2 linked regions of the Drosophila melanogaster genome follow. The gene in region 1 interacts genetically with each later gene. Each region holds a gene or a part of one and is shown on either strand. Other genes may lie near its edges. The genes, in order: ham and seq.

What was found.
Region 2: of ham (region 1) and seq, changing one suppresses a phenotype caused by changing the other (phenotypic suppression), as found in Drosophila melanogaster (one study listed by BioGRID).

The regions. Positions count from the first base shown.
Region 1 is NT_033779.5:18,778,218-18,787,316, reverse strand, and holds the start of ham (hamlet), read left to right. Parts: upstream 1-4,716; 5' UTR 4,717-5,012; coding exon 5,013-5,040; intron 5,041-6,985; coding exon 6,986-7,512; intron 7,513-9,099.
Region 2 is NT_033778.4:13,182,735-13,191,602, reverse strand, and holds the start of seq (sequoia), read left to right. Parts: upstream 1-1,516; 5' UTR 1,517-2,042; intron 2,043-2,349; exon of another isoform or gene 2,350-2,515; intron 2,516-3,694; exon of another isoform or gene 3,695-3,777; coding exon of another isoform or gene 3,778-4,209; intron 4,210-4,283; coding exon of another isoform or gene 4,284-4,622; intron 4,623-4,680; coding exon of another isoform or gene 4,681-5,003; intron 5,004-5,070; coding exon of another isoform or gene 5,071-5,330; intron 5,331-5,447; coding exon of another isoform or gene 5,448-5,866; exon of another isoform or gene 5,867-6,069; intron 6,070-6,427; coding exon of another isoform or gene 6,428-6,459; coding exon 6,460-6,826; intron 6,827-8,368; coding exon 8,369-8,868. Other genes in the region: Kdm4B (lysine demethylase 4B), read left to right, coding at 3,778-4,209, 4,284-4,622, 4,681-5,003, 5,071-5,330, 5,448-5,819, 6,428-6,826.

The sequences.
Region 1 (9,099 bases):
AAAAAAAAATATATAAAAATAGTGACGTTATTCTCACGCTAATTAAAAGTGTTGTGCAAAAAAAAAAATAAAAATAATTAAAAATTTGGCAAAATACATGAAAATCCCGAAGAAAGCCGCAAATAAAAAAGGGTTACATGTGAGTGACATTTTTCAATTAATTGTTCATCTTTTGAGGTCAGATCCCCAGTGTGTCTGATCACCGGTTGTACCTGAACCACCCTGCTGCAATCGAGATCCTGGCAGATGTGATTTTAGTGGAAAGTGTGCCAAGACAGGAAGCAGAGGGTATCTGCTCCTCTTCTACCATTTCCGTTGCACACTGCAAATTGCACTTGGGTAAACTCGATTCGAGGGCGCGTGCTGCAGGGATGGGTTCGAATCTTGATCCAGATTCCAGAGTTTGCAGCTTTGGCTGGTATTAAGTTACGATCTTCTTAGTTCACGCCTCCCTCTCCCCCTCCTCCTTCTGCACAGACGCGATCTTCAACGGCACTCGTAACGGTTTGACCTTGCCATAATTATAGTCCTGACCCCGCTCGTCTGTCTCGCGCATTTTGACTTGAGAACTTGCCCTGCTTCACTTTTTCCTTGGGGTCCTTTTCGGCAGAGAAGAGCGACTTCCGCTCCGCCTCGAAGGCAGAACAATGGAACAGCGGTCCTTGCAATAGCAATAGCAATCAGAATCAGAATCGGAATAGGCATCGGCATCGGCATCCGAACGGGAATCGCTATGGCAATAGCAGTGAGTCCTGTCCTGTCAATGAGACACACACACACACAGTTGAAGTTGCCAGGCTTACAGGATCAGCGCAGATTGATATACAAATTCGCACAGTGGAGGGTAAACTAACGTGATGGCATTTTGCAAATTATACATATAAGTAGTAAATAGCGAATAATATAAATATTAATAGCTAAAAATTATTCTTTATATACCCGAAATATGTTTAATTTGATGCTGAGAAAACATTGATTTAAACACACACTTCATTTATTTAAAAAAATTTACCTACAACTGAATTTTGCAATTTGTTTGCAATCGAACTAGTATTCTTTCCGCTATCGTAGACGTTCCACATCGAAGTCGGTACCACTCAACTCTTGTTTTATACCAAAAGAAGGGCATTCCTACACACTCGGTCCTCCACTCGAGATCCGAACAATGGTAGCGATATGTGGACCGAGACGACTTTTGATTCCGATTCCTTCAAGAACTTTATTTCCCTGCACTCCGCAGCTTGTAAAAGCCATTCACAAAAGCCGGGGCAAGTCCTTTGTCCTGGCTCAGACAGTCGGAGTCAAAGATCAGCCATCCAGCTGAGTTAATTACAGTCGACAGGACTTCCACAGAGACAAACCGGAGTCACTGACTCTGAATGGAACTCGCTTGGAGTCCTTTTTGCCAGAAAGGAAGTGTCCCAGCCTCGGGATATTCAGTCGATCTGAAAAGCATATTTCGCTTCATTTTTGGCGCGTTAAAATTTGAATTTCAGCTGCAATTTTAAGCTTTCTTTAGTGGTAGTGAAGTGTCCACGTCTTTGCTATTATCACCAGTTTGCGAATGTGCTTTTTTATCTTTCGCATTTTATTCAAAACAAATTTTTGGGTTATTATATAAAAATGAGTTTTCAAATGTTCAGATAAATAAATTATTAGTCAGATATATTTGTATCTCTTTCTTTAATTTATTCCATCCGTTAACAGAGGAAAAAGCCATAAATATATATTCCTTCTCTTCCACCACAATGCACTGCAATCCTTTAATTGAAATTTTATCACCTTTTACTGACTGTCTGATCTGACCTGATTATTCCTGGTTATGCATTTACACGGCTCCGCCCCTCGTAGAATTATTGACTTTTTTCCGAGGCGTGTTGGCTAATGAATTATGGGCTATCATATGCGGAACAATCCGCCGACAAAGCGCAGAGCAAACGAAACCAGAGCGAAATGCAAATAAAGACACATCCTTTTTTCTATCTTTTCGGGTCCTCGCGTGTGTTAAATTATGTGACAGCGGCGTGGAAGGGGTGACTCGTTGTCGATTATGTTGTTTTAATTTAACGCTATTAGCAGTGGAGTCAGAGCTGAAAGTCAGGATACCATCCGTTTCAACCCTTAAGCGCCCCTTTTCCGGCGATGACATTCCACCAATATTTCACCCGTATGTTGTGAGCTCCTAATTGAGTGCTGCTGTTTGACAAACGCAAACAGACAACGATGTGGATAGAAATTTGTGTATTTTATGGGCACCGTTTTTAGCACCTCTTCGCTGTGAAACGCGAAAGCCCATATTTCTGACCCTCGAGTGATCATGCAAATAAATAACAAGTGAAGAAATTTATGAACTCATTACAATGGAATCGTTCAAGAATAAGCTATCTTTTTTTGGCCTAACAGGAAACACGCGGAATTAAACCATTTTTTATTTTTTTGTATCTTGCACTCGTAAACAATTATGCTTCATATATATTGTATTTTTTTGGCGAAATGTGGAAAAAAATCCAATTAAGAGAAAATGTTGTAATAATTCATATTTATCTTGTATAAAAATATAATAATTAGACTCATAATCATACCATGTTTTGATATGATTTCGACGCTCGCATACAAAAGATAAACTGTTGCATTTATAACACTTTTAATACTCAAGACAAATCAAATTGATAAATAAGTTGTGTTTCTTTTTCAATTCATATTCACATATTCATATTTTATGTAAATTGGATTAGAGTAAAGAAAATGTAAAATCTTTAATTTTTCACAATAATTCCCTATTACTTATCTCATGGAAAAAAACAATATTCCTTATATACAATACATAGGTGATACTAACTATCTTAGAGTGCGGGAATATCTTCGCTGACGCAATGGTTGAGCAATAATATATTTAGATTACCCAATTCATGATAATATGAGGCATAGTCTTAAAGGAAAATAATAATCCTCTGATTAAAAGGCGACCTCCTAAGTTCCACCTAATAGCCAGTCATCTATTCCCCCTCATCAGCATAACTTCCCATCCACTTAGCCTAAGCCAAAGCCCAACAAAATTCCACCAAAACATGAAAAAGTTTAACGACAGATACGAAATTAAGTTGCAAACAAAAGACCAAAAAGCCCGTGTACTTGTCACCCCCACCTTCACCAAAAAAACCAGGATTGTTGTTGTTTGAGCAGGGAAAAAGGGCAACCATAAGGAAGAGTGAGGGGAAAAAGTGGAGAAAGTCGAGGAAATCAGCCCGGCACACTTTGCCTTTTCTGCCGCAGGCTAAAAGTCGTCGTCGCTTTCAATTATAGCCGTGAGTTTTCTCTGTCCGGCCAACACACACACACACACACACTTCCATACACACCTATACAGTTGGCAGGAAGCCATAAACACACACACACGCACTTAAGCGGCAGGGCAGTCTACACCCACACACAGCCATTAGCCTAATGTGTGTGCTTATTGCGCACGCTTTGGAACAGACGCAGGTTGAATTTTGGGGGAAAATTCAAGAGAGGTGGGAAATTCAAGGCGGGTGGTGGTTGTGAAAAAGCCCACTGAGCTAACGAAGCCACAATCCCCAAACCAAAAGCCGAGTCCCCCTCGAAAACCAAAACGAAATGGATGCTAAGGATAAGGCAACCGCAACTTGCCACTTTGTCTTCTCGTGGGGGAGAAGGGGGTGGGGGGTGGCAAATCAGAAGAGGGGGCCGTGGGTGGTGTCTGGTCTGGGCCAACCGCAAACAAACAAACAGAAGAGCGCAACAGAGACAGAGACACTAGCGGCAGCCAGAAAAAGAGAGCAACACCATCTCTGTATCTGTATCTGGTTCTGTATCTGTATCTACAGCTGCATCGGAGTCTGCTCTGCCTCCATTTCGGTATATAGATATGCAGAGATATATAAAGCGCAGTCTACATGTAGTCGAGTGCATAATGAATGCGAAGATGTGCCCGCCCTATTATCCTGACTCCTCCCTCAACTCGAGCTGGCTGTCTGTGTATCTCAAAGATACATAGCCGTATTCTGATAGGAAAAATCGAGGGGTAAATAAGGCCATCGCACTCTCTCTCTCTTGCTCATTCTCTGTCCCTGTCTCGTTGATGGCCATCTCCCTCTGTTATCCTTTCTGTGGCCACTGGCACTAAGGATTCGAATCAGAATCACCAAGTTTCAGATAATAATAATGACTGCAAACTGACACAGATTTCAAGGGGCGAGAAAGAGAGCTGTTCTCGCCGCGAAAGAGAAGGAGGAACAGAATCCGAGAGAGAGAGAGTGTGTGAGCGCAGGCTGGAGATACATATATAAACGCACTGTTAAAGATACAGATGCTGCACTCTCTCTCTCTTTCTCTCTCCCTCTCTCCACCGATGTTGCTCTCCAGTTTCATCCCCTATCCTTTTGGTTATGCTTTACGAAAGATAGCCAGGACATCAGGGCGATCCTCTGGGAGATGGGATGAGATTTTCGGTTGGGAGAGAGGAGCGGAAACAACCACCATGGCGAATGGATAGCCAACCAGCCAACCGGCCCGAAAAATTCCCATTCAAACCGAGAATCCGAGTCCGGCAATCCGAGAATCCGAGAATCCTCATCGCCTCCAGACAATTCAGTTTCAGTTCGTTGCTGAGCGTGCTGGCAATCGGAATCGGAAAATCACACTCGCTTTTCGCTGCCGCCGTTTGCACTCTCGGTCGCCGTCGACGTCGACGTCGCTGCCACACAATTCTGTTTCTGCTTGTTTCTTTGCATTTATATTTTTTGCGTTATCGCCGCTTCTTTTCCTGGCTGGCTGGCTGGCAGCAGTCTTGCGAAGACAACCGGCAGATAGAGACGACACCCATCAAATAAATAAATATCCGTTAAAATCGTAGCAATATCGGTACCTACATAAAGCAACATCAAGCATACGCAGTGTTGGCCGCGCAGAAAATGTCACATCGCGTGTTATGAAAATATTTGCCAGCGATCTGTTTATTGTGATAATTACAAGTAACGTTTGAAAGCGGAATCATGCTGTTCGATCGATATGTCATATCAGGTTGGTTCCACGCCGTGTTAATAAACAAAAGTTGGTATCTCGCACTGCGGCTTACAGGGAATCGCAGTTCCCTGAACTGAATCAGTTACTTTGAAAACAGTTTACAACGGCCCTAACTTAAACAGAAGCCAAGTGAATCAGTTTGAACAAATCCACCCATTAGTTGATCGATTGTTTTTTAGCCCTAAAACATCAATGACAAAAATTGTGACAAATCAAGTGCTTAAAATAAGTGGTGTCGTGGTTTTATCTCCTATTGTCTTGGCCCTAATTAAAACATTCGTTTATAAATAAACTACGAATTTTTTTAGACTTACAGGAAATTGAAGGCTTGCCATTCAAATATAATTTGAACAAATTATATCAACCCAGCTAAAATACTTATTGCCTGTTAATAAATTGGCATATACCATTGAAAATAATTGAAGTAGTGAAAAAAATTAGGCGAAAACATTTTTTAAGAGCTCTATATCTCGGGCCACAAAAAACATCTTTTAATCTAGTTTCCTTACTAAACTTGCCGCAACTTTTAATGACCAAACTAAAACCGAAGTAAGCCCTAAGTAAACCCATTAAAATCGATCCCCACTTATCAAGCCCCCACACACTGGCAATCAAGCGTTTATGGCCAGTTTTATCAGCAGACCAAACCCAAATGTGATTACCTAAAACACAAATTAGCCGAAGGTCCCGTTGAAAAAACACTTGCGCTTGGGTAAAAGCGAAAACTAAAGAAAACCAGAGTGATTAACAATTGGGTTGTCAAATAGAGCCGAGGATAAACGCGAGATGAGTGGTTGCGAGGGCGGTCTTTGAAGTGTAGGCCACTTCAAAAAGATTTCGCTAAATGGTGTGAAGCCGTCGGGGTTCGCGATCGAAGTGCCAGGATACTGTGCAAACAGAGTGTGCCGCAGGATGTGCGAAATGCAGCAGGTTGTTTCGGGTCGAGAACTCCAAACGTAGTTTGCTTTGTGTTTGGCCATTGTTTGCGAGCCATTGGTTTGCGGTCTACTTATATGGCCGATACTTATCTGTTTCGGGGTAATGTTACTGTTACTCCGTAGTTACTGTTACCATTCGTATGCTCGTTATCTTCGAAGCGCTGTCATATTTTGTCTAACAGCTCAAATTACGATTTAGTTTCAAGTGTTCGAACAAGGCGGATGGACAAGACAAGAAACCAAACAGCAAACAACAACTAGTAGTTGCTCAAATATCAATAATCGCCGGGTAATTTGTCCGTGTATACTTATGTTCCGAGCCCACCGATTATCGGTATCTTAAAGAAGTGGGTGCTATTTTTTTCAAATGACACCATGGGAATGCACTCACAATGTCATCACCACCCATCTGAAATAGTGCAAAATATTATGGGAGTTCTAAGGGTAAAAATCAAATTACCCCTGATTCTACTGTCACTAAGCTGACTCATCAAGTCGTCTAGTGAAGTTTATTTTATCTATTCAATCGGCAAAAGTCAATCCAGTCACATCAATTAAATGTGAAGATAAGCAGCAAATCTAAGCAACTTAAGTCGGAATTATTGTGTCAACAAAATAGTTTAAATATTTCCCGTCGATATTTATCCAGTTTTTATTTGCTCAGCCTGCTTGGATTAGACAGGAAAACAGACGAGGTAACTGATACGCCCTGTCTGTGGAAAGGGTAGAGACACCTGTCTTGCCGGGAAGATAGGAGCCACATAGAGTGGGCAGTGATAGACGGTCCCAGCCGTGCATTGCAAAATCCCCAAAGACACCTTTATATATAAAACCGGGCAACGATTGTCATCTCGACGTGAAGAGTCATTGGCTTTATCTATTTTATTTTGGGAGTGAATTGACAGCCAACAACTGATTAGGATTAGTGCTTTGAGTGCTTGCCAGCGGTCGGAAAAGTCATTTCTAATCGCTGTCTATTTCTTATCCGCTTCGATTGTTAACAGGCTCCGGAGGCGACGACTTCGATCCAAGTGCAAGTGTAGCGCGCCACCATCATCACCTCCATCACCTGGATCTGAGTGCCAGGAGTCAGGGCTTCAATCCACTGTCTGAACAAATCGAGGATTCATTCGCCGCCCGCCATCACTTACCGCAGCAGGAGCCCGTGGAAGGATCTCCGCCGAGGCGGGATCATCTTGATATACAGGATCAGGAGCTACTTCACCATCCCAATCATTTCCACCAGCAGAACCAGCGACAACAGCCACCGCCTCCCACGTTGCCGCTGTCCGTGGAATCCTCCTCCGCCGCAGCCGCCTCCGTCGACGGCATGGATGCCTTCTTCAAGGACCGCGCCCAGGCGGAGCACATCCTGCAGGAGTGGGTGCGTAGGCGCGAACCAGTCTGTGAGCTGGACATCCGTGATAGTGGTGGCGTCTACGCCAAGACGCCGCTCCAGAGGGGCACTCGCTACGGACCCTTTCCCATGAAGCTCAGCCACCAACCCAACGATCCTCAGCTGGCCTGGAAGGTAAGTAGTTTTGACAATCCTTGAAAAAGAGATAAATAATTTTTTAAGTTCTGAGAAGTAAATATAACTGTGGGGAAGGAGTAGAAAATACATTGAATATTTAGAATCGAACGATAGATAGAAAACTTGTAGTCTAAAGTTGATTGTTGGATCTGATATTTTGTAATGCTTTGCATAACTTATTAAACTACTTTCTAACGATGATTTAAATATATTTTAGTTGCTTGATGTTCACTAACCTAATTAATTCAAAAATCGGTAGAACTCAACAATGCCTACCCAAAATTGTCGTTAGTTGCAATTACAATTATTTTCCCATGCAATCAGAAGCACAAATCCCATGCCTGAAAATCCCAAAAAACTTTTATAGCACACATTTATCACCAAACGGACCTTAAGCCTTTCACATGTGTGCGCATTTTGGCAATCTCAAATTTCCGATATTAGTTTTTCGCTGGTCGGGAAATTTAATCCCATCAGAACCGTACCAATTTTGATGTGCGAAAATTGCAAGCGAATTGAGTCATCCCAATTTTTGGGTGGTTTTCGCAGGGAAAATCAAACGATTGGAAAGAGATTTGATTAGAGCTCTACCTCGAGGGTATCAATTGTCAGTCAAATGTGCCTAATCCCCGGCCAGAGCTAATTTACCTTCCGCCGGAGTGGAAAACCAGGACGAAAATCCACAAAGTGCACCCCAAATGAGGCTTAAGTCGGGGCCGGCTGATGATTCCAATTAGGGTATACGGATCGTCCGATCCCAGTCTGAACCCTTCGATCGGTTGTCAGTCAGTCAGTCAGTCAACTGACACTTTTCCTCCTCCCTCCGCTACCACTTTTCTCTACCGAAACACAGAGACAATCCAATCAAATTATCGCGCCTCGTCCTGTTGACAATTCGCACAAGGAGATCCCTCTTTTTACCTACTCGGCCCAGGTATTGGTACGAAAATATTGTTCCTGCCACTCGAGCGAAAATTGCAAAAATAACACAACTCGGATCGGATCGGATCCCTTCTGGCCTTTATTCCTGGATGATCCTCAAATCAAGCGCACTTTTATCGTTCACGTTTCCGTTTTGACAGATACATTGGCCGTATCTGTATCTGTATCTGCCACCGTTTCCCGTCCGATCCTTCTGGAGGATCTGGATCTGATCTGGCAATTCGAAGCGAGTTTTGCCAGCCGAACCTAACCGAACCGAACCCAACACTTTGAGATTATCTCTGGCGCGTAAATATTTTTCCTGCCCATTGACGTTTTCGTGTTTTTCTGCTGTGAGCGTGGTGGCCTCCTTTTTAATAAAGTTATGAATAGGCAAGGACATGTGTGATGTCTGTCCGGGGATTATCGACAGACAAAACCAGCAACTGGAACTGTTTGCCAAACGGTTACGGATATTTCTGGCCGTGTATTTGTACATATCCAGATGATCTGATCATTTTTTTAGTGGCTGCATCGGATTGCAGTTTCCTTTGCTGTCTTGAATAACCAAGGAAAACTGGGGAAATGTCATATAAAGATATTCCGGTGATCAGTACTGATTGCCTGAATAATCTTGAATATGAAACCATAAGGAAACTTAAA
Region 2 (8,868 bases), on another chromosome or scaffold:
CTATCTCTCTCCTGCTCTCTCTCTGTGGGTTATGCCTGAGTTGCTTTGGACAAGTTTTGAGGACAGGATCCTTGGACACCCCGCCACTTTTTGTTTCTTTCGTTTCAAGTCCTGCCGAGCAGTGTGACCGTTCTTTTGTGCTCTGGTCACGCTTTGATCCTGCCGTTAGCCGCTCCCCCAAGCTCCATTTTCCCATAGGCGTCGCCGGGCTAATGACATGTTGTAAATTATACTACCACGGGGCATTCCTTTCACCGTTTCAAGCTGCTGTAATTACTCAGCCCGGTTTCCTTTTTTTGTTCCTCTCCTTCACTCCCCGTCCTGTTTTATTATTTTGCGTCGGTTTTTGTATGGGTTTTCTGCACACAGGATGCAAGAAACCTTGTTATCGAAACGCTATCACATAATTGCTCGATGCAGTTGCAGATGTGCTTATTTGTATTCGCTAAGCGCATATGCCATTAAATTGAACATTATAGGGGATTTACTAAATTATGCTTTTGCGCTTGGGGGAAATTAATGTCCTTAACAGTTGCAACAATATGACATTTTCTTATTAACGAAATTATTGAGAAATATAGTTGAGGGCGTTATGATTTAAAAGATATAATGCGATCGGCTTGGAAATTATAATTCTATTTAAATGGTACTAATTCTGCAAACGGAGTTCACAGGATCAAGCTTAAATGTGTAATACATTTAAAATGGAAAATCTATCGAAAACACTATATAAAAAGCATTAGATTGAAATTGGCTAGCATAAAAGTAAACAAACAATTATTCCAAACGAGCCATTGCTCTGAACGCTATTTGTTGGTTTTGCAATTATTATACAAATATGCAATTATTAAGTACGAGACACACGAAGCCGTCTCAAGTGAGAGAGTCCTTGCGACCCGTCTCAAGTGGATCCTCAACCTCTAGCCTCTGTATCTGTCGTTTACCTACAAACGATCACTGGCGATCCGGGATCAGTAAAGTCCTAGATTAGATCTTCGCCAAAATCCGAAATCCGTGCCAGGACAATGCATAATGAGGATTAAGTCCTTTGCGATTTCTCTGACTGCTTACTGAGATGCAGAGAAAGAGAGAGAATGTGCGAATGGATTCACGATTCGCGATGGCGAATGCATTTTTCCTTTCGCCACATTTGCTTTTCGCAATGAAACTAAAGAGGAGGAAAAAGGCATTGTTCGATCCACGAATGAATAGAGGAAAAAGGAGGAGCGATTAAAACTGCCAGTTTTCCACACGGCTTGCATTTCCCTATCCACAATTATCCTGTCAAACTTGTTTGCGCCGTCTCCCTCTTGCTCTACACCAATTTTCCTTTCGCATTATGCTTTGACCAGAGCATTCGCATTAAAAGGACAACGCTCTTGTGCGGCGCGACTGTGTGTGCGTGAGCGTGTCTGTGTTGCGTGCTTGCTGTGTGTGTGAGTGCGAGTGCGAGTGCGAGCGAAGAGCGAGTTCTTTCGACGCCTGCGTCGCCATCGTCCTGGCATCGAACTGGCGTTCAGTCGACGCTTGCCACTCAGACCGCTCAGACATGTCGCGCCCGTCGTGAGTGCCAGTTAGCCATCCACATTAATATACATATATATAAATTAACATCCTCGAAGAGAGAGAGCAGCAGCCATCAAGTCGAAGACTGTGTAAAACGCAAAACAACGACGCCATCAGATGTTGCAGGATAACATAAAATAATACCAAAGCTAAATCATTCTACAAGAATTGCAAAACCCAGAAAATAGTGCTCAAGTGTATCGTATAAAACATCAAATTGTGCAAATTAGTTACAGTTAGTTAAAACGCCAGCAGAAGTTTCATATGCAAATACACAAAAAATAATGTGCAATAAACTACAAATCACTTCAAACAAAGGCAACGCAGCAGCATCCAAAACGTTAGTCACATCCAGTTGGAGTTGCTCATATAGTCATAAAAGTACTTTTGACATTTTGTTGGGATTTACGCATGGAGAACACCGAATAAACTAGAGAAGCAGAACTAAAAAAAAAACCCATCAAAGCACATCACAAGTGAGTTCCAAATTTCGTCCTTTCACAAACACACTCACATATTCGTAAACACACATACACACATGCATACGCACTCGCTGCATTGCGACTCGCCCATGTCGAATCTCCTCTGTAGCGAGTATATCCTGCCCGCTCACTCGCTCTTCCCACCATATTTGCTCTCTCCTTGTTAACTAGCATATAGTTTTGCGCACTCGTCAGCTCCCCCCTCTCAGTTATCCCGTTACCCCTCCCCTTCCCCAACATCGTCGGCTCTCCGCTCTCGTTCGGTTTTGGTCTTCTCGCTCTCTGAAATTCTCGGGTGGTGGTACAGTTTTCTACGTGGTCGAAAAATTGCGTAAATTTTCATCTAGTGCTCTGGGATGTCTCGCACAGCGTTGTCCTCGTTATCGTTATCCTTGCTGTTCCTCTGGCCTGCAGAGCTTTCAGTCTGCTTGTACGGAAAATAGGAAAAACAAACGGAAAAACAATTGGTATTGGTATTGACTGGGAAAAAGATGTCGCCGGATTTGTGTCATTTGCTTATTGGGCGTTTTCAATCCCTATAAATGGCTTGCCGCGGGAATAACGGTTCGTCATGGGGCTCAATAATTAATTATCCCCTTCATCTTGATTTATTGTGTTTTTTTTTGGGAGGCTTATCGTATACAGAAATACACACAGAGAAATTTTTCAATCACGCATGACTTGTACTTTTGTTTTATTTTACGTTTTACACTCATCAATCATTTTATTTGGGATCTATAAAATGTAAACAAAATAGTTTTGCGAACTAGTCTTAAATAAATTTTAGTTCAATAATTTTGTATGCTAATTGTAACTATTAATTAAGTGATAGTGTGAAGACAAAGCGTCAATATTAGTAAAATTATTTTTTAAGTTATCCTAATCCTGCGGGGATCGTTTAAATATATTTCGTATGTTTACTTACATAGGAGTTTTAATTTTAATTAGTTTTTTAAATTTCGAATACCTGAATTTTACAACTTTTTGGCAAAGTTGTTTACATTTATCACAATCATCGATATATTATCAGCATAATTCAATTGTAATTTATAGCATAACTAAATCATTTAATATTTAATCGAAATAATTTTGTGGTAAGAAATGAATCGAATTTACCATTTTCAGGCAACATACATAATTTCCATATTACCGCTTATTCCTTTAACTCCCAATTTTTCAGCCGGTTGTGCATGAAATCTGATATACTTATTTAATTTACAACATTTCCTCGTAGTTAGTAAGGTTATCAAACGAACGATCATTGCACTTTTTATGGGTTCCTATGGGTTATTGCGGGTCCGGCTGGCCCATGAGGAAAACCACTCGAATGAAAGGGGCGGGGGAAACGGCAACTGCATATCCTGCCAGCCTCTATTCTCCTGCCAGTCGTCCTGCCTGCCTGCCTGCTGTTGTAGCTGCCGCGCCCATTAAAAAAAAAAAAGAAAACCTCGAAAAGTTGCAGCTGTTCCCTCAGCGCTCCTTCTCTGTTTGTTTTGTGACTGCCAGCCAGAATGCCGATCCCAAGCGATCCGATCGCTGAGCGCTTAGCGATGGGGCAGGCAGACGGGCTGATCATGAATGGCATCTGCCCGGGATTAATGGGCCGTGCACGGGAGTACGGAGTTTTAATGCTGCTTCTATCACAGTTCCAGATCGAAGCACCCTAGCTGTGAAAGAAGTGTCCGACAACAGGTCGGAATTGAAAAAAAAGAGAAAAACTGAGACGAGAATGAAAATGTCAGAGGTGCCACGCATCAAGGTCTTCCGACCCACCTGGGAGGAGTTCAAGGACTTTCCCAAGTACGTGGCCTACATGGAGTCCCAGGGTGCCCACAAAGCCGGTTTGGCCAAGGTGGTGCCTCCGCCGGAATGGGTGCCCCGTCGCAGTGGGTACGCCGATCTCGATGCTCTAAATGTCACAATTCCGGCGCCCATTTGCCAGGTGGTAACCGGCAAACAGGGATACTACCAGCAGATTAACATCCAGAAAAAGCCACTCACAGTTAAGCAGTTTAGCGAGTTGGCCAGCACCGAGCGTTACGCCACACCCAAACACTTTGACTTTGAGGATCTGGAGCGCAAATACTGGAAGAACATAACATATGTGGCGCCCATTTATGGGGCAGATGTCAGCGGAAGTATCACAGACACAGACCAGGATGTAAGTTCGTTAGGGTTAGGGTTTAGGTTTGGGCATTAGCTGATGATTCGTTGCCTTTGCCTTTGCCGTTGCAGAGCTGGAACATCAACCGGCTGGGCACAATTCTTGACTATGTCAACAAGGATTATAACATCCAGATAGACGGCGTGAACACAGCCTACTTGTACTTTGGCATGTGGAAGACGACCTTTGCATGGCACACGGAGGACATGGATCTCTATTCCATCAATTACTTACACTTTGGGGCGCCAAAGACGTGGTATGTGGTGCCGCCGGAGTGTGGTCGCAAATTGGAGAAGGTGGCCAACCAGTACTTTCCGGCCAGTTACAAGAATTGCAACGCATATTTGCGCCACAAGATGACGTTGATTTCACCACAGATTCTCAAGCAACATGACGTGCCCGTCAGTAAGGTGCGTTTATCGGTAGTAATCCTGTCCATAGTGGCCGTACTAAATCCGGCTCTTGCAGATCACGCAGGAGGCGGGCGAGATCATGATCACATTTCCGTTCGGCTATCATGCCGGCTTCAATCACGGCTTTAACTGTGCCGAGTCCACCAACTTTGCCATGGAGCGCTGGATCGAGTACGGCAAGCGGGCGGTGCAGTGCACCTGCAGCAACGATATGGTCAAGATCTCGATGGACACATTTGTCAAGCGCTTCCAAAGCGATCGCTACGATCTGTGGATGGAGGGGCGTGACGTGGGGCGGCATCCGGAGGATCCGCCAAACGCGGTGCTCAGTGCAGCACCCCTGCCACCACATCTCGATGTCTTGCTGTGTGATAAAAAGTAGGTTTCCTTGCGCTACTTGTGGGGCTACCAGCGAGTCTTATTCCTATCTCCTGCTCCTCCGCAGAATGAAAAAGCAATGCAATCCTACCAAGGCCAAGAGTTTCAAAGAGCGTAATCCCGATCTGGACCTGGATGAAATCCAGCAGAATCCCAACGTCCCCGACGACGTCAAGGCCATGCTGAAGGAGAGCGTGCTGACGCTGGACACGGGCGATCTGGCCACGGATGAGGCTGATTTTCCCAACGAGGATGCCATGAGTCTACAGAGTCCGGCGAATCTGAAGACCAAGCAGGAGCTGCTTGAGTACATTGACGACGGCACAGGTGTGTGGGCCGGCAGGTGCCCTTCAAAACGATCATCTTCCCCTTTCCCCAGCTTAACTATAATATGTTTCCTTTCTCGCATCTGTTCTTTGTCTTCCCCTTTTTGCCTGTTGACAGAAGATGATGATGAGGAGGAGGACTTCAAGCGGCGCAAGCAGAAGCGGCGCTATGATGCCGACTATGACGACGATTGGCTGGCGTCCAAGCGCAAGACTAACTCGCGAAACAATCGCGGCCGTAGTCCGCGCACCAAGGACGACCGTTCCATATCGCCGGCCTCCTCCACCTCCTCGACGTCGAGGGGTGCAAGGCGTGGCAAGGCCAGTGGCACGCCCCGAAAGACTCCTGCGCGGCGGAAAAAGGACTCAATCACCACGTCTCCGGCGGTTAGTTCTGCAGCAACTGCCGTAAAAACACCGACATCCGCCGTAGTCGCTGGAACAACATCAATAGCCACAACCACAACACCACCAGCAGATGGCGGAGGAGGTGAGAGCAGCAGCTTAGGCAGCCACTGCACCACTGCATCCCCATAATCACAGCTTCACCTATCCACCTCCAAGCCATCCAAATTCTCTAACCCAATGCCCCAATGTCTCTTTTTTAGCAAAAATCATTCCAAATTTCCCAGTAGTTTTTTGTTCTAACCAAATTGACAATGTTTCAAGCAGTTTCACATGTATCGTTCATCGTTTTTGTTTTGCGATTAATGTACAAATAAATCGTTCTATCTAATTGTAAGAGTGCGCCAGAGAAATATACGATCACGCTTTTAAGTCTATGCTAAAAACTAACCGAAAACCAAAACTGTTTTACTAAACCGAATTCAAGGTGTTGGTGCTGTCTGGGCCGAATCCGTTCCTCTTGTTTTGCCGCCCCCAGAATCCGCTTCACTTGCTCTTTCGCTTTGACTACACATCCTCATTCCACCCAAATCGCATTGCCTCCTATCCAGAAAACCCCCCGAGTCCACATGTGTGTATGTGTGTGTATCTGTGTGTTTACACCAACAGTAACCGTATCAACCGCATTTATTCACAAACAATTGAAATCCTTGCCTGATCAAGTACTAAACTTTATCGATTGACGTTTTTCAGATGCCAAAAAGGAGCGACAGTCGCTGCAGTTTATGCAACAATCGCGTAAATTTGAGGGCAAGATACCAAAACTAAGTCAAACGAGTGCAGCAACAGGAGGAGCAACGGCAGCCGCAGAAGCATCCACATCCAAGTCTAGTCAAGGGCAGCAGCAACAGATTGTCTACGTCAACATGTTGCCCGCGGCCAATACCCTGAATGGCATTCCACAGCAGCAGCAGCAGCAACAATATGCGAGCACGGATGGAAATGTCTATCAGCTGCAAAATGAAATACTCTGTGATGCAAATGGACATGCCGTGACTGCCGCCACGGCCTCATATCAAACTACGGCCAGTAGTCCGCAGCAGCAGCAACAGCAGCAGCAGCAGCAACAGAATGTTGCAACTAGTGTTGCCGGTAAGTGTACAACTTGAATTTGTTCGCTTTTACGTTAATTAATTTGTTTGTTGGTTGTAGTCTTTGTGTATGGTTTAACCTAACCCTCTTGTGTACTCGTATTTGGTGTTTAAGTTGAAGCTATTACCACTAACCGCTCTCATTGTAAATACAAACGCACTCACACAATTATGATTTTGACCGTCAACCGAATTGGCCAAATTTGAATCCAATCAATTGTAAATGTTGTCGCACATCCATGTCATCCAATCGATATCATCCTGACTTTCCAAATTCAAACTGCATTTTGAGTTTTCAACTTTTTGTGCCAAAATTCAAATGCGCCACTAAGGGAGAACGTTTCGAATGAGAGCAAACATTGAATTTGACTTCCATTTGTGTTCCGTGTTCTTGTCACACCTTTGAACCTCCCAAAAAATGAACAAAATACAAAAGAATATAAACGAAATAAAAAGGCAATGAAATCTTCAATTAACCATTACCGACCTATCTCAATAAATCGAACTCCAATCGCATCGCCCAATTAATAACAACAACCGCTTTCAACTGCTCCACACACTACATGCTTGTCTTTAATTTGCGACACCATTTCCCAGGTCTGTGTCCTGTCTCTACTCGAATTGTCGAGAGCATTGGAAAAATCAAATAAATAAGTGCACAATTCATTTCAACCGAGGGAGGGAGCTCCGTACAAAACAGTAACGCGTCGAAAAAGGCTCAAAAACAATTGTCGATCACGTATTATTTTACTTTATTAGCTAGTTTAAGGTTTTGCAGTTCAAACTTTGGCGCCCAAGCAGCAGTGAGTTCAATGAGAGCATCAGTGCTGCCCATGCGCGCGCTGACTCTTGGCAGCACTTGCGCGCCAAATTTTGAAAATAGAGTTTATAATTTATAGATTTGCGTTTATGATTTAGTTACTTTTAGCAACGACACTTTCCCGTCTTTTCTATCTCTCACTTATTGTTTCCCACTCTTTGGACACAACACAAACACAATCCGTTGCCAGCTCCTCCTGCTCCGCCCCAAGCGATGGAGGAGGAGGAGGAGTCTACACAAAGTTGGCACCAGTTTCATCCTCTCCTCTGTCCACCTGTTACCACCACCTCAGTTACCGAAGTCGATTATTTATTTAACTTTATTTAGTACGTATTGAGTTGCGAGTACTGTACCAGAGTTACGAATTACGATTGCTGTAATGTAGATCTAAGTAAACACAAATTCTACCGACAAACAAAAACCAATTCACTCACTTTCTATCTATATGTCCTGTATTGCCTTATCCAATCGATTTGATAAAGAGGCCCGCCCGTAAATGCAGCAGATGCACTGCATCTGTGGCATTTGCCTTTTTTGCTGTTGGCCGCAAGTAGATTTCATTTTGCACAACATTTGTTTTATGCGAACCTGATTTGAGTGAATTGTTGATTGATTTCGATTTCAATTACGAATTGATTTATTGATTTATGCAAATATTACATTCAAACACATCTTTTATGAACCAAACCAAATATGTATTTTCAAAATATATATAAACAAAAGACAATGTGGTCACAACTATTAGTTCGTCCTCCATCCTGCACACGAACGCCAACACCAACGGAGTGGACACATTGGCCGCCACACAGCAACAACAACAACAACAGCAGCAGCAGCAGCAGCAACAACAGCAACAGCACTACCACTATATCACCACCACCGGCGAGGATGGACAAACCCCGACCACCATAGTGTTCGAGAACTACAACGGCGGAATGCCAGCGGTCAGTTCTGCCGCACCAACGCCCGTTCCCGTGTCGCAGGCCAACGCACCCGCGACCACGACCACCACTGCCCTGGTCAACACGGACGGCACGATCATCGAGTTCGACGGGAGCACGTACGAGGAGTATCATGTCCTCAAAAGCGAGCCCGGCAGCAGCGATTGCCTGAGCAACGGCAGCAGTGCCGTGGCCGCCGACATAATCAAGTACGATCCCCAGCACGGTGTCGTCGGCGACGAGGAGGACGACGATGAGAACGGCATGCTGCATGTGAAGTAC